Linked DNA regions of Alligator mississippiensis. The protein of the gene in region 1 purifies or fractionates together with the protein of each later gene. This does not show direct contact. Links are inferred from orthologs where the notes say so. Each region holds a gene or a part of one and is shown on either strand. Other genes may lie near its edges. The genes, in order: DCAF1, CEP78, COPS8 and DYRK2.

Region 1 (7,553 bases):
TAAATGTTAATTTTTCTAAATTTTTTAGGGGCCCCGCAGGCCGGATAGAATGGCCTGGTGGGCCAAGTCCAGCTCACAGGCTGTATTTTGCCCACCCCTGCAATAGAAGGTACAGGCAGCAGCACTACCTTCTAGCAACAACTGGCGTCAAGTCTTGTTGAAGAATCCAGCAGTCTTCAGAGACTCAAATACATTGGATGTGGTATCACTGATTATCAAGGAGATGACCCATCCCAAAATGGGCATGTACCAAAGACGGCTAATGCTTGAATAAACAGGGTTGGAAGAACTAATACAAGCATTGGATTGAAAAAACTGGATGGGCTAATATTGGGCTGAGCCTCTGGCTAAAAATGTTGCTGTCAAAGTGGATGATGTTGAAGCAAAAAGTTCACCATGAGGTTGATGATTAATATTAACTGGTGCTTGCCCTAGTGTGTGGCAAAACTAGAGGAAGAAAAGCCAGAGACAGCTGTTTTTCAGTTTTCTTCACCCCCTGGTCTTCAGGATGCATGAAATCCTAATAGTTTCAGCTTAATCCAGAGGGGTTTAGGGTTGCTTTCTACCTGTTTTAGACTCCATCAATCCTTTTTCTCTGTGTATCTCTGCAAGAGAATGTGAAGTACAGAAAGAGAACAACAGTATCTTCATTTCAGATAGCAAAGTCCTGTACCATAACTGAATCTCTGAAGTGCAATGCAACCTCTACCTAAAATAAAGGTGTAGCTGGACAGTGGCTAGGTTGCCACCATCAATGGTAGTACCAGCTCAGGCAGTGCTGACTGCTATTTTTGTACTTCCCCTCCCCTCCAGCCCCTCCATTGGCATCTGGTGCCCTGTTTACCCTTTTCCCCGCTTACCTTAGTTAAGCTACTGCTGAAATATGAATTCTAAAAGCACCCTAAACCATGTCTTTGAACTAACTGTGCAAGCCAAAGGGCCTAGGCATTGGTGACTCTGCCTGGTGCCAGACACATGAGAAGGTACTTAATCCTGTTGGACCCAAGGCCCCTTAGGAATTCAAGCCCACATTCAATTCCCATACAGGTATGCAGAAAAACTACTCTTATTTGGGAATACGTCAGTTGGTAAAAGTGGCCCCATACCATCTAGCCCTGAGTGAGAACCCCAAGTGTCCTGTTAAAGTAAGACTTCACTGGACCCACATTCAAATATGGATACAGGAAGTCCTTCATGACTGGTTCCCACCTTTTGGGTAAACAACATAACTTCCCACGTAACAATAGTTGGCATCATCCTGTAGATAAGGGGTCGAGAACCTTCCACTGTTATGGGCCACTGTTTGAACCCAGCCCCTATTGAAGGGTGCAAAGATTTGCAGTGACTTGCAAATACTGCAGAGGAAATACAGAATGAGATAGGCAGCAGTACCTGGGGAATGCCCTCTCTGCTGCACTGGCTGGAGCATGCTGTTGCAGGCTGGATCAAGTCTTTTCATAACTTGCATCTGGCCCATTGGGAATAGGTTGCCAACCCTTGTTGGAGATCATTTTGCCCAGTAACTTTTTTTGTCATACCTTCTTGAGAAGGTCTGATGGTATGATCTAGCTTCTGTAACCATCTTTATTAGAAGTGGAGGATACACGGAAGGTGTCATTGCTGGAAGTACTCCCAGGGTTGATCGCAACCTATTTCTCTCCTTGTCAAATTTTCTCTTTCTTTCTTCTCATGATCCAGGGTTCTGCCTTGTATTTCATTCTTGGTCTTACCATCATCTTGTACAAGTTGACCTTTAGCATCTTTTTATTACAAAAATTACACCAAATATTTCTTTCCTTTCCACTTTTTTTTGGTCACTCTCATTAAGCCTCTTTAACATTCCTCATTTATGATGGAAAATTTCAGCTACCTGAGCATTCCATGTGGTGTTGCCCCTATCAGTTCATTACAACACTTTGCTTTCCATTCCTGTTACTATCACAGCCACAGCCACTGTTTGAGTACTTACTTTCAGCTCCCCCATTTTTAAGAAACTTCCAACAGCCTGGATAATGACCAAAAAAATTTTTTTCCCCAACTATTTTAGTTGGTCTAATAAGAGATATCGGATTTACCCAAAGAACCTTGTCTGAATGGTAACTCGGCACTTCCAGGAGTACACACTACTAACGAGCCAGACGACATGGCTCATTACTTATTACTAACACCCTGAAGAGGTGTTAGTTACACCTTACATGTGAAAGAGGGATGATATAAATTGAAGGCACCTGCTAATAGTCACAAGTGTCAGTGGGAAAGCTGAAACAGAATCAAACTCTTGACTTGGTCCCTTGCTCCATAAAAGGCACAAGACCACGCTTCTTTCCTTGTGATAGAAGCAGCCATGCTGAAGTAGTAATGGACGAACAAAAACAGCTGGGATGATTTAGTCTTCCTATGATTTGACTCTGTTGGTTCAATGTGACTTGCTTTGGTGTTGTGCTTAGTTTCCTACAGGATTAGGAGAAATAGTCTTGTTTCCAAAGCAAGCTGCTGTCTAATGGTCAAAAGTAGGCAAGTCAATGGCCAAATTAAACAGCTTTCAGTGTAACACTCAAGAATGGAAAAGGAAATAAGTTTATTGAATCAAGTAATGTGATACTTAAAAACAAACTGCATGAGTTAAAGCTGGTATCAAAAGTTGTCATTTTGTACTCATACAATATCCCTACTAGTCTAATGGATTGGGCATCCTCCCTTCCTCTGACTTCAGTAGGAAGGTGTTTAAAATGAGCAAGTAGATGGATTCTGTAAGGTAGTCTAAACTGTATGATGAATTCATTACAGACTATAAATTCATTCATTTGAGAGGGGCAGCAGGGTACAAAAACCCCATAGCTTAGGTAATTTATTTTGGAGACATGAAGAACATAGCAAGCTGTAGTACCATCCATCGCCATAGGGGTATTTATAGGTTGGAAGGAATATTCATGTCACCACATAAATTTTTGTATGTGGTAACATAGCACCCACGTGGGTCCACCCTGCTTGCTGGCGCCTTCCCAACCTTGCTTTGCCTCCCATCATTTACTGACCCTAGGGATCTCTCCCCAACAACACTGAAATTGTGGCAGGTAGTCACATCATGGGATGGACTGATATGTCCATACCAACCAGCAATAGCTGGGACCTTCTGCCTTCTCTTGGTACTTCCCCTTAAAGGGGACACCCACATAGGTTGAGGCACTTGGCAGGGCCTTGGCCATCACAGCCTCAGCTCCCCTTTGCTCTACAACTACACCCTCTGCCTGGGACTGCTGTTCAAGGCCTCAGTCTCTGAGTTTCAACCCTTACCTCAATCTCAGGGCCTGAACTCTGGGGCTCATTGCAGGGGGAAGCACTAAAGCACTCCTATTTGTGGCTTCTTCTCTTTACAGCCACAGCCAGTTCTCCAAAAGATCTAGCCAAAACATAAACATCAGCCCAACAGCTGTGAAACAAAAAAAACCTCTCTATTCTGGGCTAATACTTCCCTGCAGGGTGCTAGTTCCCCTTAGCCTCTTCCCTGCAGATCTCTGGGAACTAGGCGGACACTAATCAACCCACCTCCACCAGCTGCCAACTACAAGACCAGATTAACCAATGCCTATTCAGAGACTGGGTTTATATTTCTCAGCCCAGGCCCCTTCCAGTCACCTGACTGACCCTTTTGTTCATCCTTTCCCAGTGCCAGGTGCAGTTAATTGCCTGCCTCATTAGCTACCTGATTCCTGCCCTTTTTTAAAATGTATTCAAGCCCTCCCAGTAACAAGGGCAGGAGTTCCCCGTTGCAGGCAATATATATATATATATATATATATATATATTGTGTATATATATGCATGTGTGCGCACATGTATTCTAAAGTGTCTTGAATACTCTGCACTATGACCATCCCTTTTTAACAGAGAATATAATATTTTTATTTAACGTTCCTGTGGTAGCCCGACTCTGCAAGTGGTAATTGATTGGGCCCGTCTCAAGAAAGTAGTCCAGTGTGTGAAGGCATTATTTCTAGTAATCCTGCTCGTCTGTGGGGTAACTCTAATGGAGCAAACAGTAGATTGAGGGAAGAATATGAATATGGCAATATATTCCCAACCTAAACTTGTACCTTAAGGTTTATGAACATGAATCCCATCAAGTGCAATGTCATGCGAGGGCCGTGTCACATGTTGTGCTGTGATCCGCACATCTGTCGAGCGGTGTGAGCGCGGGGTGTAAGGTGCAGGTGCTCTAGTGTAACACAAGCCGAAAATACCTTCACACCCTTAGTGCTTGGCGCCAGTTTCAGGAGTTAATGTGGAGACAAGCCAGGCGTTGAGAGCTCCAGGAGCCGCCCCAGAATCGCAGTAACAAGACCTTGCTTGGCATGAGCAGCCCTTTGCGCCCCCGCACCGGGGCAGGACCGAGATGATTTAACTCGGCAGCTTCTGCAAACAGCGCCTCATGAGCGGGAGTGAGCACCATCACTTGATCCGCGGGGTCAGGAACCGGCCCCGCCCCCGAGCCTGACGCAGACCAGACCCAGCCTCCCGGCACTGAGAGAGCCGCGCATGCGCACTGTGCCGCCGGCTCTCGAACTGTGTTTCCCTGGAGGCTGCGCGGGCGCCGGCCCCTGCGCGCGCCGTGACGTGCAAAGTGTGAGCCGCCATCGCTGTCGCGGGCTGTGCGGGGCCGAACGGGCAGCGCAGCGCAGCGCAGCGCAGCGCAGCGGCGGGGACCAGCGGGCGCTGGGCAGGTAGGGCTGGGCGCGGACCCCGCGGGGTGGCTGACGGCACCGGCTGCGGCCCCGGCCCCACAGGCCGCTCGGCCCTGGCCTTGCCACTGCGTCGGCCGGCCCGGCCCTGTCCTGTCCTGTCGGGTCCTGCCTCGGGCCCGGCGCGGGGCCGTTACCGCGGGGCGGGGGAGGGGCGCCCGGTCCCCCCTGCAGCTCCCTCCACCTTGTGCCGCCGGGGTCACTCCCGGCTCCTCGCTACCTCCGGGCCTCCCTTCCCCGTCCGTCCGCGCGCCCGCCCCCTGCCCCGAGCGTGGCGCTTCCTGCCCACGTGGGGGGGTGGTGACTTGCCGCCCAGCTCAGCCCTCTTGCTCGAAGGACCCCTTGTTCCTCACCTATCCTTGCTGCCATGTGCCGGGTGGGCTGCTCTGCCCAGCCCTGCCCTGCCATTGCCTCGCCGCTGCCTCCATATGCCCCCCCCCTCTCCCCCCTCGCCCCGAGGGGCCGGGGTGAGACCTCGGGCCTGCCGCCTCCTCCTTCCATGCAGTGTAGTTTTGGTAGTGAGTGGCTCTACTGTTGGAGCTGCTTTCCTTTTGGAGACTGTTTTCATACACTTATTAATTGCAAGAATTAAACTGGTACAGTCCCTCTTATAGGCATGACAGGTGCCTCTGGGCTAGTGAACCTCTTCCCTGATTAGGAGTCAGACATGCTCAGGAAAGTGCGTTTGTGGGAGCGCAGGATGTCTTTGATTACACAAGTGTAGTTACAGTGTTACAGGGCTCAGGCATAGACCCATTCTTTGTCTTGCTTTTCTCCTACTTGTTTGATTGGGGATTGTTGTCACCCCTTGAAAACCAGTGGACTGAGAATGGAGTGATTTTTCTCTTGACACCAACATATTTGTTCCTTGTTTTAATTATTTTTTTGTTACAGTTGGTTGACAGCCCCTCTGAGGTACATTTCATAGAAGCTTAAATGTAGAGAACTAAATTATTTAATCTTTTGAGCTGGACTTCCAAAATTTGACTCAAGTTGGTGAGTGAGTGAATACTACATTTTGACGGACAAGTAGAACAGTGCTGGTTTTTTAGATCATTATTTTTACTGTTTGTAGGGCCTGCAGGCAAGTCGTATTTGCTTCTTGATGACTGAAGTGACAAGCTGAAAAAATAGGCCATCATCTTGAAAGTCCTGCTTCTTCTAACACTAAGATGTGATTTCATTCGTGATTGACCATGCAGATCTCTTCTTTGCTTATAGACTGTGTTCAACAGTACAGTTGTTAATCAGTGTTGGCATTTGCATAATCATTCTTAGGTTGCAACTTTACCACCCTTTTTAAGAGTGGGATAGTTGTTGCAGGCTCTTTGCACACTCAGGCAGCCAGAGCTTCATTTGTTTATGCAGCACTTGCTGTTTAAAAAAAAATAAAAAATTTCTACCATTGCAGTTAGATTTCACGCTACCTTAGACTTTGTCTACAGTGGTTCTTTTAGAAAACTTAAATCATTGTTGAGAGCAGTATTATATTTCTTGTTTTATCTGGACTGGGTTAGAGTGTGGTTGCTATAATGTGGCTTGACCTTGTCCATTATGCTGATGGACAAATTTCATAACTCTGTTAATCTTCATTAGAATTTATGTCTGACGTTCTGCCACAAGGTTGATTAAAATCATTACTTATTTTTTCTTAAACAATATGATTTCTTGTTATTTATATGTTGCTAATTGTTTCCTTTTCATTTTAAATTTTGCAGTGCAGCTTTTGAGCTTGAGTTTCATATTTATTATCTGAAATTCTAATACTGTAGGTACCTTATTTTAAAAGATTTTCATGTAAAATGGTTATATCTCCTGAAACAGTTTAGAGCCTTGTTGTAATCCTTACCAGGAGAGTGCCACAAAATTGATAAGCAAACAGCTTGTGCTGTTTTTGCAGCTAGCATTCCCTTCCAATATGTTGCAGTTTCATAAAGTTGAAGCTGAAACATTTCAGCTAGATTATACTATTTAGGCTTTGCAGTTGGAAGCTGTGTCCCAGAGTCACTCTGTGCCACAGGCACGAAAGGATTTGAGTGCCTATTTCTTGTTGAAATCAGTAGGATTATCCGTGTTGCCTAAACACCTTTGAGGACTTGGGCCTTTTTTTGTGAGAGACCTTTTTCAGTCTTTTGGCTTGTATATTAATGTATCATGGGAGCTTGTCTTCTTAAGTCTCAGTTGATTTTTATTGTTAAAACTGAAGTCATTTTATTTGAGATGACAGAGACAAATAAAATTGCCTGCATAAGTGCTTGCAGAATCGAGGCCTGGCTTTCAGTATTTTGCATTTTGCTAATGGCAAGTTTGAAAAATGTGATTCCCAAATAGTAATGGTATTAAAGAAATGTAACGTTATCATTTACTTAATTACAAATTATAATTTGAGGCTGCAACTTCAACATCATTTTTACAGAATTTCAACTTGATTTTTAAATCAGTGATTAAAATGCTACATCCTATTCTTAGTTCCTGAAAAGCAGTTTAGGGGTTGAAATTTGTCAAGTGCCTGTACAAAGGAAACAATGAGAATTAGGGCTGCTCTAATAAACATCCTCTACTGCAGCTTAGGGGCACTTCTGATCACATTTTATTCAGTCTGCGCTCTTGTTTTTTCTCTTGAGCCCTTTGATGAAGTTCTTGAGTGAGGGGAATGTAAATCTGGCAGGAATTGATTTGATCATTGCATCTGCAAATGCTATGCACTTGTCATAAAAATGCATGTGCTGGGAAAATTGTGGTTAATGCATGAGAAATACAAGTTTGTGTTATACACCTTGGTCTCTTTACTGATGGCATTTAGCATGTAGTTACA
Region 2 (7,252 bases), on another chromosome or scaffold:
AATAAAATTATTTATCTTTCTCCAGTATACATTGTTTGCATGCAGACATCATTATGAAAAGGTATCTCAGTAATGCTTAAGTTGCATAAACATTTTACTTATTACAAGTAAAGAAATAGCTGAGACTGCAATTGCTTTTAAGTTTCTAAGTTTAATTACTTGCTTAGTACTAGTAGACTATCGTGTAACTTCAGGGTTCAGAATACTTAAAAAAAGAAAAAAAATCTACAAGTATTGACAGAAAGGAAGAAAAGATCATAACAACACATCCTAGCTGGTATGTAGTTTCACAAAATACAAAATAAAGATAACTGCTTTATAGTTAGTATAGATTAAAACAGGGGTGGAAATATTGATTAAAACTTTGTTTTAATAAGTTCATACACACAAGCACAGATCACCTTACAGTAGTGATCCTCAACCTTCACATACTTAAAGCACCTTTTGCTAGACTCAAAGCACCTCTTGAAACGTGCCACGCTGTTGATTTTCACTATTTTTGACTACAGAAAAATAATTAATCAATACTTCTGCTGTAAAGAACTCAGAAAGACCGCAACTAGTCAGAATGCATTTAGGACCATGAATTCCTGTTTGAAATCTTTGGGTTTATCTTGTGAATCATGCCACATCACCCTGGTTGAGAATCACTACCTTCAAATATTTCTTTTTAAATGACTTACTTTCTAGTCCTCCATCTCCAATTGGACAATGAGCTAAAGACAGACTCTCTAAAGATGTTGTCTTTGCTAACCCCTTTGGAAAAAAAAAACCATTTAATTAACAGTATTATGTTAGCATATGTCTAAAGAATGGGCTGAGATACGTGTTCCCACTATGGACCCTTTGTCTACAAAAGAGGAAGAAATGGACTCTAGAAACACTGCTTACAGCTGCTTCCCCTAAAAACCGTCTAACTGAAAAGGCATAACAGAAACATTAGGGTATGCCAGGTTCCCTGGGGAGGCTGCCATTACAAGCAACCCGCACTTAACGCTGTTTCGCTTAGCACTATTTCACTATAATGCTCATTGTACAGTCATACCCAATTCCACTTAGCACTCAGCGAGTTTCACTATAACGCTCATGGTCGCCATCCTGGTTCGTCAAAAACTTTCCGTTTCGCTTAACACTATTTCTGCTTAATGCTCGGTTTTTCGGGAACCAATTAAGAGTGCTAAGCAGGGGTTGCCTGTACTTTGATTGGCCCCCAGGACTAAATTAAGCTGGCATCTCTCCAACACCCTAGAATCAGTCAAGAACAGAAGTATAAAAAGCCATCCTAAAATCACCATAGCCCTCTCTCTCTGTGGCCTGTGTGCTTAGCACTGTATCTTTAAAATGTGAGTAGAAAAATCACACCCAAGATCTTTATTGTTAAGGGTGCAATTCTTTTATGGGCGTGGTTAAAACGGTCTTACCTTTGTTAAAAGTATTAGATCTCTCTCTCTCAGAAGCAGACCCTGAAGTTCCACATTTTTTAGAACGCTTGATATACTCAGACACCCTCTGATGGCTTTACATAATTGACTCGTCAAATCTTTTGATCGGATTGCTGGAATACGCCTTCTGTAGCAGGTTTTATGTCTTTCAGCACCTGGTAAACAACAGAAATGAATTTGGGGGTGAAATGACATCCAGGCCACACTGAAGTCCCTGGGGCCAGAATCTCACCTTGGACCTTTGGTTTTTACAAGACCCATTAAAAAACCCCACAATATTTCTACCCCTCATACACATGTGCAGAAGCGTTCTGTATTGAATTCTCATGTAAACAGGTGTAAGGAGCATCTCAAGCAGTCACTACCAACCTGATTCTCCTAGACCCTGCTGATGAAAACTCCTGATTCCAACAGAAGTCAAAGTCTTATTATGCCTGACTGCATCCAGAAGCGGAGCCCAGTCAGCTGCCTTGATGCGATCTGCATTTAGGTCAAGAGTGCCCCGACTCAGGTAAGGCTTCACTGATTTTACTGGGACAGAGCCTTGGAGGGCACAGAGATGTTCATAGTGAGAGTAAAAATCCATGGTGCTCTGCTTCCTTAGTCGATTGTTTCTTTCAGGCGCAGAGTTTCTCTCTGAGCAGAGGGAGGAGGGGAAAAAAAAAAAAAAAAAAAAAGACTACAATTGATCCAGCTGAACAAACTACATACTGGCAGAGGCTCTCAATACAAGCACCCGCACCATGACAACGGAGTAAAGCTCAGGTCCAAACAAGTCACTGCATTCAGCACATTACGCGACAGCACTGCCACCTGGAAACGAATGGGAGGGAACCCCGCATCGACAGTCTCTCACAAACAGCTCCTACCTAACTGCCATAAAGATCATCTCCTAGGGCACGGGTCCGCTACCCCCAGCACGCCGAGGGCAGGTGGAAGCCAGGCTGGCGCCGCCCCAGGCCGCTCCGTGCCGCGGGCCGGCGGCACTGCAGAGCAGGAGGCGGGGAAGGGGCCCCAGGCGGCGCGAGTGGGAGCGCAGCCCCGCCCCCACTCCGCCGCCGCCGCCACCGCCTCCTCCGAACCGCGTGCGCCTGCTCGCGGGCACTCACCTCCTGCCTGCCACGGCACGCGCACACGACAACACCCTCCCTCTCCCTCCCCCGCCGCCGCTGCCAGCCCCGCGCAGCTCAGCCCGCCAAGGCGTGCGGCACCGCCTCTTCCGGGGGCGGGGACATGCCGGGGACAGCTTTTCCCCGCCTGCGGCTGGGCTCGGGGCTGGGGCAAGCGGTCCGCGTTCGGGCAGGGCCGGAGTGCGCGCAGAGCGGGTGTCAGTGGGGACGGGCAATGTTATTATTATTGCCATTATTATTATTATATAGAAATATCTATAATATATATTTCTTGTGTGCGTGTGTGGTTATGTATACATATATAAACAAATGTCAGCCCGTTAGAAAAACCCAATTCAGAAGCCAAAATCACTCTTCTGTTCTATCCCATATACAATAAGTGCAACCAAACACACTATTTACATATCCTTTAATACAAAATTTACCCAGCTACCACCATTTAAATATATAGATATAGATATCTAAATGAGATAAAGGGGGTGGGTGTGCGTATACATATATCGGACTATGTACACACATGCGCACACACGTACACAAATTTTATAAAAGCCTTAATCAGTCTGTCCGTCTGTCCATAACACTTTATTCATCCTCTAATTGACTCAGCCCCATTCATGACAAACAATTTGCTATTGTGTGTGTATCTATATAGTGTCTGATACATTGTGTCTGATACCTGGGCAGACAAGAATTGTTCTGTAATTATTCTAGGAGCTTTAACCTATTTCATCTTTCCAGCATACACTTTAGAGTTTGATCTTCCTGTCTCTAAGAAAGACCAAAAGCAGAGCCTGTAAAATAACAGTCACACCCAGCCATGCATAACGCTAATAATTTTTACAGGATGCAAGCTCCTCTGTGCATACATGAATTGTAAAACCAAGACGTAGTCCTGTGTTTACGGCGTTTCACATGGAAGTTTTGGTGCATTTGTTCAACAGAACATGGGAGTTACACCTAGCCTGTAGGAATGTTAGGCCCCAGCTCAAGTCTGGGTTCATGCCCGGTATGCAAAGACCAATAAAGATACCAGAGGTGAAAGTATAAAAAAGATTTATTGCTAGCAATAAAAGGTGCAAGCGGAATAATTTCACCCTACAAGCACAGCACATATGCAATACTGAGCCCCTTATATACAAGAGTTTGAATCTTCATAAGCATCCTTGTTTGCTATTGGTTATAAAGGAGTGACGCAAGGAGTTCTTTACTGAGCATGTCTCTATACCTGTATTTTAGCTATGTATCTCATTAACATACATATATGTTTCATTAGCATATATCTTCCCTGCCTAGGGGTGTGATTTTTAGTATTTTAATGAGCTCTTTGTTCCAGTAACTCTGATTCTGTTTTTGTTTTCAAGCTTCCTCTATCTAAGACTGTCTGCTCCTTATCATTGCAGATGGGCATTCGTCACATAACATTCACTTTTGCTTAGGCTTTGCATAGTAGTTTCTAGGTCGAACCTTACATTTCCCTCCTCTGGAGCATTCATAATTATTAATTATGATTGCTCCATTCAATTTGACTTAACACAAATCTAGTATTCTCAGCTTTCTTTGTTTGCAAAATCATTTGATTTACCTTAGGTCTGAAGATAGATGCGATACAAACCGGTATACATTGGATACAGAAACAAACCATAATCCCTATAAAACAAAATAGAACAACCATACAAAATAACTGTTTCAACCATCCAAAATTGGGAAGCCAGGAAGTTAACCAGAAAAAGTCTAAGCCAGATGATTCTTTCAACGTCTGTGTCAATCGTTGTAAGGCACCAATTTTGTCTTCAATTACAGAATTATCAGTGAGGTTGAAGCAGCACATTCCTTTTAAGGTTTCACACTCCAGATTGTGTCACAACAAGAGATAATCAATAGCGGCTCTATTCTCTAAGACAGCATCCCTTAGTTGTTTTTGTTCAGCATTCAAGGCTGAGAGCGCTCGAGATGTAGCATTTAGTCCTTTTGCTAAAACACAGGCCACTGCATTAAGATTTCTGCTATTACAGACAGCAAGACCCGGAACCCCCACCATAGATGCAGCTAATGCTATGTATTCTGCCTTAGATAATAGTCCAGGGGAATCATTCTCGTCACAATCAGCAGTGAGAGTAGTGTATGCTCATTTAAACCTCCCACCAAGAGGGGTTTGTTCAGTGTGCATTAGGTCAGACTTCCTTGGAAGAGCTGCAGTTACCCGGGCAATGGTGCATGGTCCCCCAGTAGCATTCGCTGGAAGGTATAAATATATCATTCTCCCGCAGGCCAGAAACCATCCTCGAGGAAGGATGGTATGTGTGTATACATACGATATTTGACTGGTCTTATTACAGAAGATTTTTCTACCTTGGTTCAATTCAAAGCAATTATTGGTACAATTCACTATTAAGAAACATTCAGAAGCATTAGCTGTTGCCTGAACCCGTACAGAAAACATGTCTCTGCTTTTCTCTTTTACAATAGTCCCCCACTTATATATATCCTGATATGTATTTTCCTTCTCTACATCTTTCAGCATAGTATAATTCTGTAAAATTTTCAAAGGGGTAGGTACTGCAATTAAGCATGAGGTAAAAACCAGATGAGCATTGATCCCTCCCGCTAAGCAGAAGTCTGTTCTATTTAATATTTCCCGGGCCAGATAAATCCAGACATTTTCCTGAGGGTCAAATTCTTGTGGTAAAAGATTTTCCCCTCCTATAAGTAGGAGTGGACAGATCAGGGTGCCCCACACTAAAACCTTGAACAATTTCATAATAAGGCTTGTAAAACTTGATCAAAGATTGACAAATTATTCAAAGTTCCTTTCTTTTGAATAGGAATTTTAAGTCCCTTATTGGCTCCACCTTTCACTGTTCTCTGCCTCCGGTCCCGGAGTTTGCAGGAGTTTCTTCTTGTTCTGGTTCAGCCACCGGCTTTAGGCGACTGGAATGTATCCAAGTCTTGATTCCTTCTAGCTTTGCTGCCATCGGGGTCGTTAAAAGTACTCTATACAGGCCCTTCCATCTGGCTCGAAGTGGTTCCTCGTTCCAATCTTTCACAAGAGCGTAACTTCCAAGTAATAATCGATTTTCCGGGGCAGGAGACTGGTTCTGTGTCTGCAGCACGTCCCGTACCTGCTGATGGATGGAAGACAAAACAGAAACCAAAGACCATACATATTCTCTAATCATTCCCTCTCCTAAAACATGTAACTGTTGTTCAGTACCCATGGGCAGACTCAGAGGGTAAGGCTTACCATACATTATCTCAAATGGGCTTAATCCCAATTTAGAATGTGGTGCGACCCTTACTTGCAACAGGGCCAAGGGTAGGGCCTCTGGCCATTTGAGTCGAGCTTCTTGGCAAATCTTTGCAAGGTGTCTTTTTAAGGTCTGATTCATACGTTCCACCTTTCCACTGGACTGGGGTCTCCAAGGGGTGTGTAAATGCCAGCTGATTCCCAGGAACTCAGAAACTTTCTGAGTAATTTATGCAATGAAATGTGGGCCATTGTCTGACCCTATTCCTTTTGGAAGTCCGAAGCGAGGTATGATTTCTCGTAGGAGTGCCTTGACCACCTCTCGGGCTTGGGCAGTCCGACATGGGAAGCACTCAACCCAATTAGAGAAAGTGTCCACAAAGACAAGGATCTCATCCCCTGTTGCTGGGGTAACTCAGTAAAATCCACCTGCCATTTTTCTCCTGGCCCATTGCCTATTCTCTGATGTCCTGAAGTTTCTTTTCTCCCTCCTTTTGGGTTATTTCTCTGGCAGACCTCACATGTCTCTGTTACCTTCTTGGCAGCCTCTCTTAATCCCACTCCAGTTACATAGTGACTGATCCACCTTATCAGGGCCCTGGGTCCATAGTGGGTGCCATGATAAGCTCTCTTCACTACCATATGAACCCAGGCAGCTGGGATGATAATGCGGCCATCCTTTGCTACTAGCCACCCGTGCTCCCCCTTCTTTGCTTGAAACTCTCTTATCAATTGTTTGTCTCTTTCCCCGTACTGTGGTGTCACAGGCTGGTATAAGTCTGGGAGGAGAGGTAACAGATTACTTACTTTGGGCAGCAAGTCTTTCTGAGGTTTTTTAGCTGCTTTCTTTGCTGTAGCGTCAGCAAATCGATTACCTTTTGTGGAGGGATCATCATTTTTCTTTTGATGTGCTTTGCAATGCATTACTGCTACCTCTTTTGGTTCCCAGACTGCCTTGAGGAGGGCTTTTATCTGCTTGCTATGCTTAATGCCTGTTCCTTTTGAATCAAGTAGACCTCGCTCTCTCCATAGCGCTCCGTGAGCATGTAAAACAAGAAAAACATATTTAGAGTTAGTATAAATATTGACAGTTTTGTTGGCCGCCAATTGCAAAGCCCGAGTCATAGCAATGAGTTCAGCCTTTTGAGCTGAAACAGATGGGTTTAAAGGTCCTGCTTCTATCACATTCTGTGTAGTCACGATAGCGTATCCGGATTTTCGAATTCCATTCTCTATACTCGAGCTGCCATCAGTGTAGAACTCCAGGTCAGCTTTTTCAAGAGGTCTGTCTCTCAAATTTGGTCTTGAAGAATAAACAGTTTCCAATGTTTGCAAACAGTCATGCACAAGATCTGGTGTGTCACCCATAGATGGCAACAGTGTTGCTGGATTTACATGGCGAGAAATGGCCAATTTTATTTCAGGCTTATCTAGGA
Region 3 (6,843 bases), on another chromosome or scaffold:
TTGATATATTTGAATTTCAAAGCAGCTTCTTTATGGGAAGCACCCACTGTACTGAGCTGAGGAAAACAAAGAGCAAGACAGATCAAGTTGGAAACTAGAGATGAGGAATGTGAAAGCCAGGTCAGCATTTGCTTAGAAATACCATGGAGTAGCATGTGAATAGGGCAGAGGATAAGAGACAGTACAGCAGTGCCACCACCTGGGAGAAAGAGAGGGTGGCAATAAAATAGAATTTATAAAGAAATTCCAACACAACTCCAACTTTCCCATTAAACAAAAGCAGTGACTGATGGATAGAAATATACTTAATCCTCCAGCATAACTAACCTTCTAGAAGGGCTGTGATGAAGCAAAACATGAGGAGCTTCAGATGTATGAGGTGTTGTCGCTGTAACTTTTTCAGGACAGTCACAGGCTCTGGTGTTGCAAACAGTTTCATATGTGCTTTATGTCTTAGCAGGACTGGGATTTAAAGACTTAGGGCATTTGTACACAGTGCAGCGTTTGATCCTCATTAATTTACCAGGCCTTAAAAATTTTAACCTGAGTTATTTTGGTGCATCATGTTTGTGTTTGCACGCCATGGGCTTTCAAATGACTTAAGTCCCATTGCCGCAAATTCCAGTAAGGGGAGACAAATACCAATCTACCTCTAGTAATTAGGGCTGTGTGAAACACCACTGTTCTGTTTCGACTTGTGTTTTGATGTTTCAACGGAACAGCGTTTCCTTTCGAATTTCACTTCAATTCAAAACTGCTGTTTCGTTTTGTGTAAACGGTTTTGCTGTTTTGACGCTGTTTCGAAGTTTTGCCCATAGGCTATAATGGGGAAGGTTAAAACAGCCTATAACTTTGTCATTTCTAGCCTGATTTGGATGAAACTTGCAGGAATGGTAGCCCCTTCTAAGGGCATGAAGCCTGCCAAGCTTCAAGGAGATAGATGCAGGGGTTTATGGGAAACCGCACCTCAAGCTGCAGACAAGCAAAACTTGTGACATGGGTGACACTGTGTGTGTTAAGGCGCAGCAGGCTGAAAACTGCAGGCATGCTAGACCCTGACGAGGTCATGAAGCCTGCCAGCTTTCAAGGAGATAAGTTCAGGGACTTCTGGGTTCTGGGGCCCTGCACCCCTAGCTGCTGACAGGCAAAACTCGTGACATGCATGGGTGACACTGTGTATGTGTGTTAAGCTGCGCCCTCACTCGACTGACACCAAGGCAGAAAACAGGGCAGTTCAAACAATGCTGCCTTCTTTGCAGTTTTTCTATCCCTCCCCAGAGCACTGGGATTGGAAGGGACCTCAGGAAAGGATGACATTCACTGGCCAGCTACACAGTCAATAATGAGAGCGCTCCTTCCCCTCTCTACCCTCTCCCTCCCCTTACTTTAGTTTCTGTTTCCCTGCAGGCAAGCCCAGCTTGAGCTTCGAAACTCAAAACGTTTTGAAAATTTTGAAACGTTTTGACTTGTCTTGTTTTGTTTTGAGGCTGTTTTGAAGCTCTCTTTTTCATTTCGATGTTGCTGTTTTGAGCTCAAAACTAGTCGAAACTGTCAAAATGAAACTGCCGGCGAAATTTCGCACAGCCCTACTAGTAATGTCTTTTCTAATGAGTTACAGCAGGAGGCGCCTGTTTGTGCCAGTAAACTGGGCTCCCTGCACAGTCCTCAGCCCTCTACCTCCCACTGGGAGTCTCATGCTAAGCCCCCCACCCCACTGCAGGACACAGTCACCCCAAAACCCTGCCTTTTGCACCCGCTTAGGCTCCAGCTGGTCTCCCAGTAGGCAACCTCATGGTGATCCCGTCGACAAGCCTTGTGAATCATCTCCCTTTTCCTTCCCCCCATGTTACAAAGTAATGATCATTTATATATATGATTTTTTTTTACTATATAGCTGATATGATATCAGAAATGTACAGGGTTGAAAGGAGCGGGTAGGTGGTGCCACCCTGAGTGGTTGGCAATTGTAGCTGATGGTGGTGGTGAGGTGGACAATGTTTCGTGTTGTGTTGCCGAAGCAGATGTGGATCGACATCTAATGTGGAAACTGTTTGCAAATACTCTTTGCCTTTCAGTACTAGGCCTCATGCTTATAGTTTAGGTGATGAATCACACTGGCAGTAGAGCAGAAGCGGAAGTTAGACGTGTTGAAAGATTTTAGGAGGGATATGAAGGAGGAAAGCAAAAATCCTAGCACAGGGGAGCTGTGAGCACACTTCCAGCACAGAGAGCAGCAGTGAAGTATGGCTTCTACCTTCTTCTGGTCAGTCTTTTCCTACACAGCAGCCTGATCAAGTTCTTGCACAGCGTGGAGTCACGTTAGTAGCATTCTGCATATAAGCAATAGCCTCCAATGTTACAGGTTTGCTGCTATAGAGATGCTAGAAGAGCCCTGATCAGTAGTGACACAGCATTTGCTGAGAGATGTAATGCATGTCTATATGTGCACTTTAATGCACATTAGCTTATTTTAATGTGCATTAAAGTGTCATAAAAAGTGCTCTTTAACTAATACACATTAAAATAGTCTAATGTACGGTTTTCTAGTACCTCACAATGGAGGGTGCCTGTACCTAAACTGGGAGGCTGTTTTGCCATGCTGTAATTACAGTGCATTGGAGCAGACTTGATTAATCGAGTCTGCTCCAGCCAGCCTCCACCTCTCATGTGTCAGCGTCCCTGCACTTCAAAACTTCAAGCTCATTGAACCAGCTTTAAAGGACCCCCACCACCATTTTGGAGCGCAGGGACTCTGATCAATGAGAAGTTCTGGGCTCTTTAATTAGAGTGGCTCTGGAAGCTACTCTAATGAAAGCGCTCCCCTCTCCCTCTCCCCGATCCCACAGCATGTGTAAAAATGGCCAGAGATACTAGATTTAATAAGCGTGGCCTAAAATGCATTTATGAACACACAGACGCACCTTTAGTTAGCCACATTAGTCTGAAGTCAATTAAAAGGAAGGGTGGATTTCCACCTTATAGACTGACCAAAGTGTGTGTGTGTGTGTGTGTGTGTGTGTGTGTGTGTGTGTGTGTGTGTGTGTGTGTGTGTGTGTGTGTGTGTGTGTTGCCATCAGAAAAAAAAGAAAGCCCAGTAGGCACGTGCTACTGAAAGTATCTGATGAAACGAGCTTTGACTCACCAAAGCTGGAAGGGGGATACACGTGTCTGTGTCTATGGGTGTAATTAGTCACCAAAGCTCATGCTATACACGTTTATTGTAGTTTTTTCTGTGGGATATAAGAAAATAATGTTTTCTGTTTCCAAGGCTGAAATACAAACTTCACACTGGTTTTAGTGAATCTTGGAACATTTTAATATGGCAGCAAAGCTCTGTGATGTCTGACGGACTCCACTGACAATCTACCTACAGCTGTGGAGCCTCAGTTTTAATCTAGCCTCCTTTCGTCAAATTTGGCGATTTCGTTTTGAATCATTTCTGTCTCTTTTGTCCTTTGCAGCTGGATTCAGGTCAGCAAGACTTGTACCGTACGTGCATTTGGGGGCGGGGTGGAGAGGGGCGCTCTATGTACTGCTTTGGTTAGTCACCAAAGTTTGTGATAGATAGATAGATAGATAGATAGATACGTGTTCTACTTGACCTTCCCAAATAAAGTCAGCCAGGCAGACGAGAAGCGCCCGCCAGCCCCGCTGGAATCTCCCCACAGCTTCCGTCGACCCAGGTGAGCAGCCAGAGGAGCGGGGCGAGGCGGGGCGGGGCTGGCAGCTGCGCCATTGGCTCGCAGTGCGGTCCCGCCCCCTCCCGGAGCGTTCCTCCCTCCAAGTCTCGAGTCCTCCTAAGCAGCCGAGGGGTGGCAAGAGCGGCTCTGCGACACGGTTCCCACTCCTCGCCAGTGGTGTGGGAGGAAGTGACGCGAGCTCTGGGCCGGAAGCGGCGGGCGGCTGTGGCGCCTGCCCGGGCAGGAAGATGCCAGTGGCGGTGATGGCGGAAAACGCCTTCAGCTTCAGGAAGCTGCTGGAGCAGTGCGAGACGCAGGAGCTGGAGGTAGCGGCGGGGCCAGGAGGGGCAGCAGCCGCTCCCCTTCCGCACGGGGTCGCGCCCGGCTCGGGGGGTCGCGCTGGGCCCCTGGGGCTTCAGGTCCCGCTGCCGGTGGCGCGCGCGGGGCGGAGCCGATGCTAAAAGGGGCGGGGCTGCCCCACGTTCGCCGCCGCCTGCCGCGAACGGTCCAAACCGGCCGGGCAGGGGGAGCAGCGGATCGGACGTGGGACACGGGGCAGGGAGCGGGGCAGAAACGAGCTGATCGGACATGAGCTAGTGAAGGGGAAACAACAGAGCAGCAGACTGGACCTGGGAGATAGGGCAGGGAAGAGAAAGAGGGGCAGGTTGGAGGTGTGACACGGGGCGGGAGTAGAAAGCAGAGTAGCCGATCGGACACGGGACAAGGCATAGAGCAGAAAGCAGAGCATCACATCAGACATGGGACACAAGGCAAGGAGCAGAACGTAAAGCAGATGGTTGGACTTGAGTGCATGGAGCAGAAAGCAGAGCAGCAGATCGGACATGAAACAGGGCAGGGAGAAGGAAGCAGAGCAGCAGATTGGATCTGCAAGACAACAGAGAGAGTAGCAGATTGAATTTAGGACACAGCAGGGAGCAGAAACCAGAGCAGAGCCATTTTCCTTCCTAGGTGGATGGCTGGTCAGTTGTGGGAACTTGTATGGGCCCCTTCCACTTCTTGGGTACGGACATGTATAGCAGTTTGTGCTCTTGTTTAAATTTCACTGGGATCAGGAACAGAGACGAAGTTATCCATCCTGGGTTTGCAGGTGGCCTCTGCTGCACTTGGAGAAGGTTGGAGCTGGTGGAGCAGGCAGTAGCTTATTTGTCTCTAGCAGTGGGGACAGGCACCACATAAACCTGTCAGGTTTACTACGTCTTCTTTCAGGGGTAGTTCTCTACTGAGTAAAGTTACCCCCATCCTCCTTTGCCATTTGTATTGTGTTTTAACTTTGATGTGATGCTGATATTACCAGAGAGAACATTTTGTGTCTGTCTGCTGGTTTTTCCAATGTCTGTGAGCTAGGAGTGCATAGATAAAGATTTTTTGGGGGCTGCTACCTGTTGGGGTGACTGTATTTGGATCTTGGGGAGTACTGGATTTGCAGCTGAATAAAGGCTTTAATCTGTGGCTTACAAAAGCTGCTGACCACAAGGCAGAATGGTGTATTAAAAGTAACATTGTGAGATGCTTAAGCAAGTAGTTTTCTGACCATATAGTAGTGTTGTAGGATATGTAACTCCTTTATATAAAAGAAACAGGATGCAAGCCACCGGCTGTCATTAGGAGATAGAGCAGATTTTGCTTATGAATGCTTATGCTAAGCCATCCATTTGCTTATGTGAATTAACCATCTTAACTGTGTGAACCATTCTTCTGAAAAAGCAGCAAGTAAGTCTGTGTGTTGCGAATGAGGTAATGTAAAGATGGTACAATATGGGACTGAAAAACAGACTGAAATGTGAAAGATGACATATCATTGGTAACAGAATCTGAAATAAACATATGTGAAAAGGTGAATGGTGATTGGTAAAGAAGCTTCCAGGTTTTGGCTGAAGTCAGCCCAGTGACCGAAAGAAGTGGAGTCAAGGTCTTAGTCGTGTGTTCATAGCAAAAAGACATGTAAATAAGTGAAATGCATAGACAATTCCATGCTAATGAAGTAAATGGTAAACAAAGGCAGAGCTTGAGATGGGAGGGACAAAGGTGGAGTAAATATTAATAAGTATAAACCAAAGTGTATAAATATGGAAAAAAACGTATGTTCACTGCTGCTCCCCAGTTTCTTTGGAAGCTTGCCCGAAGCTGTCTGCATTTTGAATAAAGCTGTTGCGAGCAATATGTGCTGGTGTTTGCTGCCTGCTTGTTCTGGCTAATGAGCAGCTGGATCCATGAGCAATTGGATAGTTGTCTCCCTAGTCGTTGGGAGCCGCATGGAGCCGGGATCTAACAATACCGATGGCTGATTTATTAACGAGCCATATCAGCCAATACCAGTCCAATTGCCAAGATGCAGCCTAGCAGCTTGGAGAGCACCGTCTGGCTGGTAAGTCTGTTGGGGGGGAGGGGAGATCAAGGTCCCCCTTGGTGACGGAGGGAGTGGGGCTGGGCAGGAGCAGGCACTGCACAGCCGTGGTGGGGCAGGGCATGGGACAGAGCCGCGGCTCATCCAGGCGGTGCAGGGGGAACAGCTTCCGTCACTGTGTGCACCCCTGGGGGAGCATGGGGGGAGTGGGGGATAGGGCCTGGGCTGTGCTCAGGGTAGGCAGGGACAGGGTGGATGGCAGCTGTGCTGGGAGGGGGGCTATGGCAAAGGGTGACTGTAGCCCATCCCATAGTCCTCCTCCCAGCACTGCTGCTGCCCACCCTGTGCGCAGCCCAGGCTCAGCCTCCCACTTCCCACTGGGAAGAGCCCAGTGGATCCCCGGCCCTGAGCATGCAGCAGCCTGCCCTCGCTCTGCACACAGATCTGGGGGGCTCATGCCTCTTCCAAGGTTGCATGCAGTGGTGGAAACCATCCCCCCCCTCCCTGCCCCCCACACGCCTTCTGGACGAGCCGTGGCTCCAGCCCACACCTCGCCCCACCCCAGTTGTGCAGCCCCTGCCCCGCTTCCTCCCTCGCTGTGGGGGCTTGATCTGCCTCTCTCATGCCCCTTCCCCCCCACAGGCGGGCTAGACGCTTGTCTCCAAGCTGCTGGGCTGCACTCGTGGCTGCATGCACGCTGCGGCTGTGCACATGCACGCAGGCATTTATCAGCTACATTATTGGCCATGTAGCCAAAAGAAATCTAGTAATGTCAGTTTCCTTTTTATCGGTGCCGAC
Region 4 (7,644 bases), on another chromosome or scaffold:
CAGTAGCTGTGCTGCACGTGGCCAGACTGCACCACACATGGTGCTCACTCTGGAACATGCATCACATGGTGCCTACGCCAGCCAGTCCAGGACCTGCACTACTTGTGGTGTTTGTAGGTGCCATATGCCTTGCAGGTCCGGGACTGGCTGGAGTGGATGCCATGTACAGCCCAGTCTTGGATCTGTGGGGGAGGCTACTGTGTATGCATAGCAGCTGCTGCTCTGGTCAAAGTGTGCCTGTTCCAGCTATTCTGGGATCTGTACTGCATGCATAGATCCTAGACTGGCTGGAGTAGTCACAGGATCAGGTATGCTGGTGGAGGGGCTGGGGAGGTGGGGTGGGGGGAGTTTTCGGGAGGGACCTCTGGAGATGATGTAGTCCAGGGGTGTCGAAATTATCCAGCCCTGTTTGACACCCCTGGACTACATCATCTCCAGAGGTCATGTAGTCCAGTCCTTCCAGTCCTACTTTTCTATAATTCTTTGATTCTAAGAATGAAGAAAAGCTACCAAGCTGCTTCTGCACGATGGACCAGAATTCTGCTGCAGATGGGTGAAGGAATGTTATAGACTGTCCTTATATAACATGCTAATTTTCAGTGTAGCTAATTCTCAGTGTAACTAATTCACTATGGGAGTTAAAAATATCTGTATCTGACTCTTTTCCTCTTACATTAGTTTTATACCAGTGCTACTTTACAGACTTCAGTACAGTAGCTCCTGATTTACAGCACTCTAACTGAAAGCAAAATGGGACCCTTTGTCTCCAAATTACTCCATGCAGAGAGTTTACACAATAATAAATGGTAAAAGGAAAAAAATCTAATATACTTTGAGAACACAATCTGGAAAAAGAAATGACAAATTGCAATAGAGGGAGATCTGGCACAGAACACTTTCCTCCATCATCTGTGCAAACTAAAATGAATGCACAGACTGAACATTAGTGCTACATGACTTGGGGGGGAAAATATAGAAGTTAAGAAAGGATGGATGGTGAGCATGTCCTGAGATCTGAATATACTGGACAGAAATCTCACAAAATAACTTTAATAATATAAGGAGAAAAATTACTCTTTGTCCTGCAGTCTCATATAGAACCTTGGAACATGTTTTTAGGGCATATTCATGGACCAATAAAACATCCTTTGTTGTATCTTAATGCTATAATAAAAGTAGCAGCTTATGCATTCTTAGAGAGAAGTATGACTGAATCTTTGAAAACAGAATAAACTGTGTGCAAGTAGTTTAGCTGGAATAAAGTATAGCTGGAGTGGTTTATGAATGCCAACAAATACTTGATCCTTGCAAGCTACTTTAGCTTTGCACTATATTCTTACCAGTGCTAATGCACTTTCTACAGTTCTGTGGCAAGAATTCTCCTCTCCGCTCTGAATGTATATATCAATAACAAAAGCCCAGCTTTATTTTTAAAAATTATATTGAAATATTATATAAAACTTCCACTGCAATAGGTATTTCAGTGAGAAAATAATATTTTTGGAGGGGATAATGAAGGCTGATGCATATCAGATTTAAAAAGTAAGACTGGATTCTGCTTGCACAAAAGCAATTGGAAAATTCCTGTATATTTCAATGGGATCAGGGTTCTAAAGTAATTCTGAATCAAATCTCAACCTTAGATCTGTGTCTCTCTTCCATCCAAATCCTGCCATTTACAATCACTTATCTGTAACAGTTCCATTACAATTCCCCTTTCTATATGCCAGTCTTCAGAGAGGCCATAATTTGCAATTAATACTGATTAAAGGTACTCAGTGCTTTTCAAGAAGTGTTGATATGTCTATTATTCCTACAGTACCATCACTGTAGCATACTGTGGTATGTTGATATGAAGGCTGAGATGCTCAAAGGTATTTAGAAGCTTAACTCCCATTGATACTGTTGAGGATTAGAGTCCAAATATACAATTAGGCAATGCAGTATTTCATCCAAAAGGACAGCACTCTCCAGCTCTCCTCTCTATGATTTTGCCATTGCTTTCTAAGAGGGGATGTTCTCTCCTGTTTCTTTCTTTCTAAGTAAAGCCATTTAATAATCTTCACTGCAAGAAGAAATGCTTGAACAGAGGTATCTTCCATTGTGCCTGAAAGTGTTGAGACAGGCTTATCCTGATCCCCAGGTTCACTCTAGACTGCATCAGCCACAGTGACCATATTGATCAGAACTGTCAAGGTGGATTGGACAGAGTGAGAGAGAGACTTTAAATTATCTATCTGTCCCACTGGGAACTTGAAAAATTAGCACCAAAATTGTGAAGTGGATACAGAATTGGATGGGAGCCAGTCACTGATGTGATGTGCTCTTTTTTTTGGCCTGTCTTATCTACCAGATGGGGCACTATGTGATGGATCAGCTGAATCTTAATCTATGCGATTGTACGGTTGGATAAATGAACTGCAGTAGGCCAGCCTTAGATGACACAGGTAAAGCACACCTGTTAGGGAAAGAGACTCTGCCCTATCTTGCTGAAACAGGAAAAAGCCCTATTTGGCTTTTCTGAAGTTTGGATATTTAGAGGAAGCAGTGAGTCCAGAGGAACTTACTGCTTTCTCTCACCTTGACAAACAGACCAGACACCTTTCATAGAGGTGAAGTTAGAGCTCTTGCTAGTCCTGTGAAGTGTTTCCCTGGTATCAATATCACTTCTCTCTTATCTGGACTGAGTTTGAGCCAGCTGCATTTTCATCTCAGTACTTATCTTACTTACACTTATCTCTGCCTCCATATATTGGGATGCTGCATTCCTCTGGACCACTCTTTGGACCTCTAAGGCATTTCATGGGAAATATTCCCATGGTGCTGACTGTTCAGGGGATTTGGTGTACATATTCTTTGTTGGTATGAATTGTGGGACCAGAGTGGTAGTCAAACATCAGCTTCATTTTTAAAGCCTCACTTTTGCAAGCATTTTTAAAGCTTCACTTTTTAAAAGCTTCATTATACAGCTGCTGTACAAACAGGATTCTCTACTAATCAGCTTCCTGCTCTGCCAATAAAAGAAACATTTCCTGGACCATCATAGCTACCACACCACTCAAACCTATGTAAAAGAAAACTCATTTAGATCACTGAGGTAACATGTTACTGTTATTTTTACATTCACAAATGTATCTCAATGTGGTTTCTTTCTATGGGCTGTGAAGAGAGTGTGTTTGGAGGGGCAGTGAAAGGTGAAAATCTCTCTTTTGCCATGAGGGGAAAAGGTCAGCTGTATGCGAGAAGGAAAAGGTATGGTATTTTTTTCTGTGTATGGCAAGAGGGGAAGAGGAAAGTGTCTATTTCTCTGTACCAATGGGGGAAGGAGGAGGGGGAGGTCTTTGTGCATGTTTGTGCCCCAGGCAGTGGAGGACAGAGGGGGAGGGGAAGTGGAAGACATATCTGTAGCAGTGGGAAAAGGAGAGGTTTGTTTTTACTTCCTTGTGAAAGGGGAGAAAGGAAAGGATGTCTGTCCATCTGCCTACCTATCAGCATTTCATAAACAAATGTACAGCATCCAAAAAGGGTTGAGTGTAGAGAGGAAAGTTCACTAGCTCAATCCTAAACTGGGCAAATGTTCAGATATCTATTTTTGTTGGTACTACAGTTCAAACTGACATTGAATCAAGAATCCTTTTGATTCATGTGATCTCTACAGCACACACAGGAAAATAATAATAAAAAAAATCCCTTGCTCTGTCTTTTTTTCCCCCTATTCAAATTGAGGCTTTTTTGTATGTTTCAGAATCTGCTTTCTGTCAGATGTGTTTTTTGGTAAGACTTTGTCCCTATAAATGTTTCAATTTATTTTCCCCTCTGAAACTCTCACCTTGGCCCCTGGTAGCTGTTTTCTGTCTCCTTGCAGCTGGTGTTTGTCCTGCTCTGCCCCCAGCCCCATTTCTGTTGCCCATTCTTGCCCTCTCCCCACTGCTGTTGTCTTGGCTGATGCTCTCAAGAATGAGGTGGTCTGGATGATGCCTTCTCCCTCCCCCCCATTCCAGTGAGCTGCACCCTCTAAGGTGCAGGCATACCAGGCTTGTGGGTATTGCCCTCTGTGGTGTGGGGATACCAGGCTTTTGAAAGTATCGCCCTCTGCAGTTGGGGGTTACCAGGCTTGGGGGTATTGCCCTCTGCGGTGTGGGGATACCAGGCTTTTGAGGGTATCACCTGCTAAGGTGTGGGCATACCAGGCTTGGGGGCATCACCCTCTGCGGTGACTGAACTGCCTGCCAATGCGAAAGCGGAGGACGAGCTCTCCCCCTCCCAGGAGCCGGCCCTTTCCTTGCCGGCGGGGCTAAAGGAGGGTTTTTGCCCGGCCCGCGGGAGGCAGGACCCGCGCGCCTGCCCCGGCCCCGGCCCAGACACGGGAGGCGGCGGGGCGGGACTGGGCGGAGGGGGTTTCCGAGGTGGGAGTCGGCTCCTCGGCCCTGCACGTGCCAGTCCTCCCCGGGGCGGGGGCGGCGGCGGCGGCGGCGGGGCCGGGCGGGGGTCGCTGCTCCGCCAGGGGGAGGAGAGAGGCGGCGAGGCGGGGCTCGCCCCTCGGCCGGGCGCGGGAGGCGGGTCCGGGCGCGCGGGGATGCGCCGGGGCTGGGGGCGCGGGCGGCCGGGGGCTGTGCCCGGCGGGCCCGGCGCCAGGGGGCTGCGGCGGGGCGTCGCCGAGGCCGCAGCTGCCCGGCCAGGCCGAGCCGCCCGGCGCTGCTGACATGCCGCTCCCCCCGCCGGCGCCGCAGCGGCCATGTTAACCAGGAAGCCCTCCACCAGCGCCGCCGCCGCCTACCCAGTCGGTGAGCAGCGCGGGCCGCCCGGCCCGGCCCCGCGGGGTCTGGGGGGAGGCAACCCGCGGGGCGGGGCGGGGCGGGGCGGGGTCCGTCCCCTCGCGCCGCCGCTCACCGCTTGCTCTCCCCCCGCAGGCCGGGCAGGCGAAAGCGGCCGCCAGCCGCAGCCCTCCCCGGGGCTGGGAGCGCGCACGGCCGCGGGCGCCGGGCCGCCGTCTCCCATCGCGCTGCCGCCGCTCCGGGCCAGCAACGCCGCGCACACGGTGAGAGCCGGGCCGGGCCGGGGCGGGGGGCGCGCTGCAGCCTGGCCGCGGGGAGACACCACTCCCCTCCCCTCGCCCCCGGGGCTCCTGGTTTCAACAAGTCTCGTGCGGGAGCGGGGCAACATCAGCTCACATCTGGGCGCACGGTCAGGGCCGCTGAGAAGCTGCTTTGTTTTTGACCCCCTCCCACCCCTTCATGAATCTGTTTTTAGCAGGGACACATGAGCCCTTCCCTCGCCGCCGCCGGGTGATGTGCCAGGGCTGGGGGCTGGGGTTGGAGGCCTGACCTGAAGGCTGCTCTTTGCTCATTGATGTGTCTCATGAACTGCCTCAGCTCTTTCCCGAAGGAAGGTGGAGGGAGGAGACGGGAGGGGATGGGATGGGGGGGTGGTTAGCTCCCATCCTCGCCCAGTCCTGGCCAATCCACCAGCCATGGGGCTTCCCAAACAAGCTGCTATTTCTGGAGGGGTGGGTCTCCCTCTCCCGGGTGGTGCAAGAGCCCCAAATCACTGCCACGTCCGTCCCTCTGATTGCCTTGTCGATGGCAGAAGGTGTCCTTATGCAGAAGGCAGCGCTCACCCCTGCGTTTTGCTTCAGACTAATGATTGCCCGGTTGGATGCTCACATGCTATCTCTGTAAACATATGGCAGAGCTTTACACTGTAATGTGATTATGTGCTGGTGGAAGGTGAAACTGTCTGCATTCGGATCTCGGCGTTGCAGCGGCTTTCTGCATAGCGTTTGGGATACAGATATCTTACTCCGATCCACTTGCCGTAAGAAGAAGCTTAAGGCTTTCATTTTCCATTTTGTTTTTTTTAATTGAACATTAAATTTAGGATGCTCCATAAGAGAATGACCTGATGTTCTACAAATCAAAGATGGGTCTATGTTCAGCATCAGTATGTTTTACCCACATGCACATACACTCTCTCTCTCCCCCCGCAGACCCCTCTTTCATTTGTAGAATATCAGTTCATTCTCTTATGGAGCATCCTGATATACATAGAAATTCCAGGAACAATTACAGGTTCCTATGGACAAGGTTTATACTTTATCCTATAGTGATGGGCATTATGGTATAGATTTATATTTTTACTGGGCATTAGCTACAGAAATAAATTTGACTGATAATCTGTTCCCAGTTTGAGCACACTGGACCTAATTTAAACAGTATAACTGCTACAAGTGCTATATATATATCATTATATTTTATACATGCCTACACACACACACGCATGTCATATATTTATATCTATATAGCATGTGTATATACTGAAGCTACTTCTGTACAGTACTATATGCCTCTGTAAACACAGAGGCTAAATTTTGTTTGTAGTTAAACAGATGGAGAGCTGGTAAAGTGCTGGCTGAGTTAAAACAATGTGGAGGCAGTTTACATTTTTCTTTTAAAGCAAAATATAAGACATAATAGTAAAAACATAGAAAATAGCCATGCAAGTGTTCTTGCACAGACATGTGCATTCACCCATGGATTTAATTTGGGCTTCATACAGATATAGTAGTCCTCATGTCTATCTCTGCTTGCTGGCCTAGGATCATGGTGTTGATAGTACAGAACCCTGATGGGTTTTTTAGCAGAAAAGGGCAAGCACAATTTTATGGCATTTCAGGTCCCTCTAGCTCTCACTGTTAAAATCTGTGTCTCTGTGATATGCCACTTATTTAGCCTTGAGTACTATTTTAGAAGTATTGCAGGCTGCCTCGCTGAATTTTGCAGGTTGTTATTTTGTGGTTGGTAGAAGATGTGAACATAACTTTTTATGGTAAGAATCAGTTGTGACATCAGAATGGTGGATTGTAACTTTTAAAACCATTTGGATATATTGGTTGCAAGATCATTCTAGGATTTGTAGCTGCAGTGACCTCCCTTAACACTGCCTGACTGAACTCCCTTTAATTTTATTTCCCACCACTTCTTCAAAACAGAGCTGAAAATGGAACTTCTAATTTTTCTTTCTACATTGACTTCCCTCCCTCTGTGCATATACTTACATGGCTCCCATCACCGTAGTTTCTGTACCTCCCACACAGCTAAAAATAAAAATAGCAGTCTCTTTTGCCTTCCCAGCCTTTAGGAAAAATAGCATGTTTAGATATTTGTGTGTGTGTGTGTGCACACATATCTGAAGAACCTGTAGAGGGAAAACCAAGTTGAAGAAATTTATAATGAAAGTGAAGGGGCCCACTGCCATTCTTAACTGCTTACACAGCTGAGTCATATGCTATAGGTTCAACTTCTGTGAAAATCCTGTCTCGTCTTATTAGTCAGCAGGGTCAGACAGGGAGAGGTGCCTTCCCTTAGAAGTTTGTGAACATCAGGACAGAGATATGGCTTCAGTCTCTGTCATCATGGCAACCTGTGTTGCTAAGCAGACAGACTTAGCAGTGTATTGCACCAGGTTGTGTTGGTTAATATGTTTGTTTTTTAAGAGTGTGAGACTATCCTAATCCTTTCCTTCTCCATTTTCATCAATACTTCCACTATTTTTCTGGACACTCAAGCTTGAAAATGTTGGAGGGGTCATTGCAGACTCCTAGTCCTTTTCTCCAAAATCTGTCCTTTTGTATCTGTTCCCTACTTT

The links.
Region 2: the proteins of DCAF1 (region 1) and CEP78 purify together in Homo sapiens (affinity purification with western blotting; 3 studies listed by BioGRID, with this or other methods). This does not show direct contact. The link is inferred for Alligator mississippiensis from reciprocal best matches to the Homo sapiens genes DCAF1 and CEP78.
Region 3: the proteins of DCAF1 (region 1) and COPS8 purify together in Homo sapiens (affinity purification with mass spectrometry; 4 studies listed by BioGRID and IntAct, counting the BioPlex papers as one, with this or other methods). This does not show direct contact. The link is inferred for Alligator mississippiensis from reciprocal best matches to the Homo sapiens genes DCAF1 and COPS8.
Region 4: the proteins of DCAF1 (region 1) and DYRK2 purify together in Homo sapiens (affinity purification with western blotting; 5 studies listed by BioGRID and IntAct, with this or other methods). This does not show direct contact. The link is inferred for Alligator mississippiensis from reciprocal best matches to the Homo sapiens genes DCAF1 and DYRK2.

What each region holds. Positions count from the first base shown.
Region 1 is NC_081835.1:46,299,800-46,307,352, reverse strand, and holds the start of DCAF1 (DDB1- and CUL4-associated factor 1), read left to right. Parts: upstream 1-4,550; 5' UTR 4,551-4,720; intron 4,721-7,553. UniProt on the Homo sapiens protein: Acts both as a substrate recognition component of E3 ubiquitin-protein ligase complexes and as an atypical serine/threonine-protein kinase, playing key roles in various processes such as cell cycle, telomerase regulation and histone modification.
Region 2 is NC_081826.1:199,686,296-199,693,547, reverse strand, and holds the start of CEP78 (centrosomal protein of 78 kDa), read right to left. Parts: upstream 3,012-7,252; coding exon 2,998-3,011; intron 2,659-2,997; coding exon 2,552-2,658; intron 2,079-2,551; coding exon 1,812-2,078; intron 1,598-1,811; coding exon 1,422-1,597; intron 757-1,421; coding exon 684-756; intron 1-683. UniProt on the Homo sapiens protein: Centriole wall protein that localizes to mature centrioles and regulates centriole and cilia biogenesis. Involved in centrosome duplication: required for efficient PLK4 centrosomal localization and PLK4-induced overduplication of centrioles.
Region 3 is NC_081827.1:186,158,301-186,165,143, forward strand, and holds the start of COPS8 (COP9 signalosome complex subunit 8), read left to right. Parts: upstream 1-3,826; 5' UTR 3,827-3,928; coding exon 3,929-4,006; intron 4,007-6,843. UniProt on the Homo sapiens protein: Component of the COP9 signalosome complex (CSN), a complex involved in various cellular and developmental processes.
Region 4 is NC_081827.1:68,669,883-68,677,526, forward strand, and holds the start of DYRK2 (dual specificity tyrosine-phosphorylation-regulated kinase 2), read left to right. Parts: upstream 1-4,637; 5' UTR 4,638-4,735; coding exon 4,736-4,784; intron 4,785-4,910; coding exon 4,911-5,038; intron 5,039-5,459; exon of another isoform or gene 5,460-5,814; intron 5,815-7,644. UniProt on the Homo sapiens protein: Serine/threonine-protein kinase involved in the regulation of the mitotic cell cycle, cell proliferation, apoptosis, organization of the cytoskeleton and neurite outgrowth. Functions in part via its role in ubiquitin-dependent proteasomal protein degradation.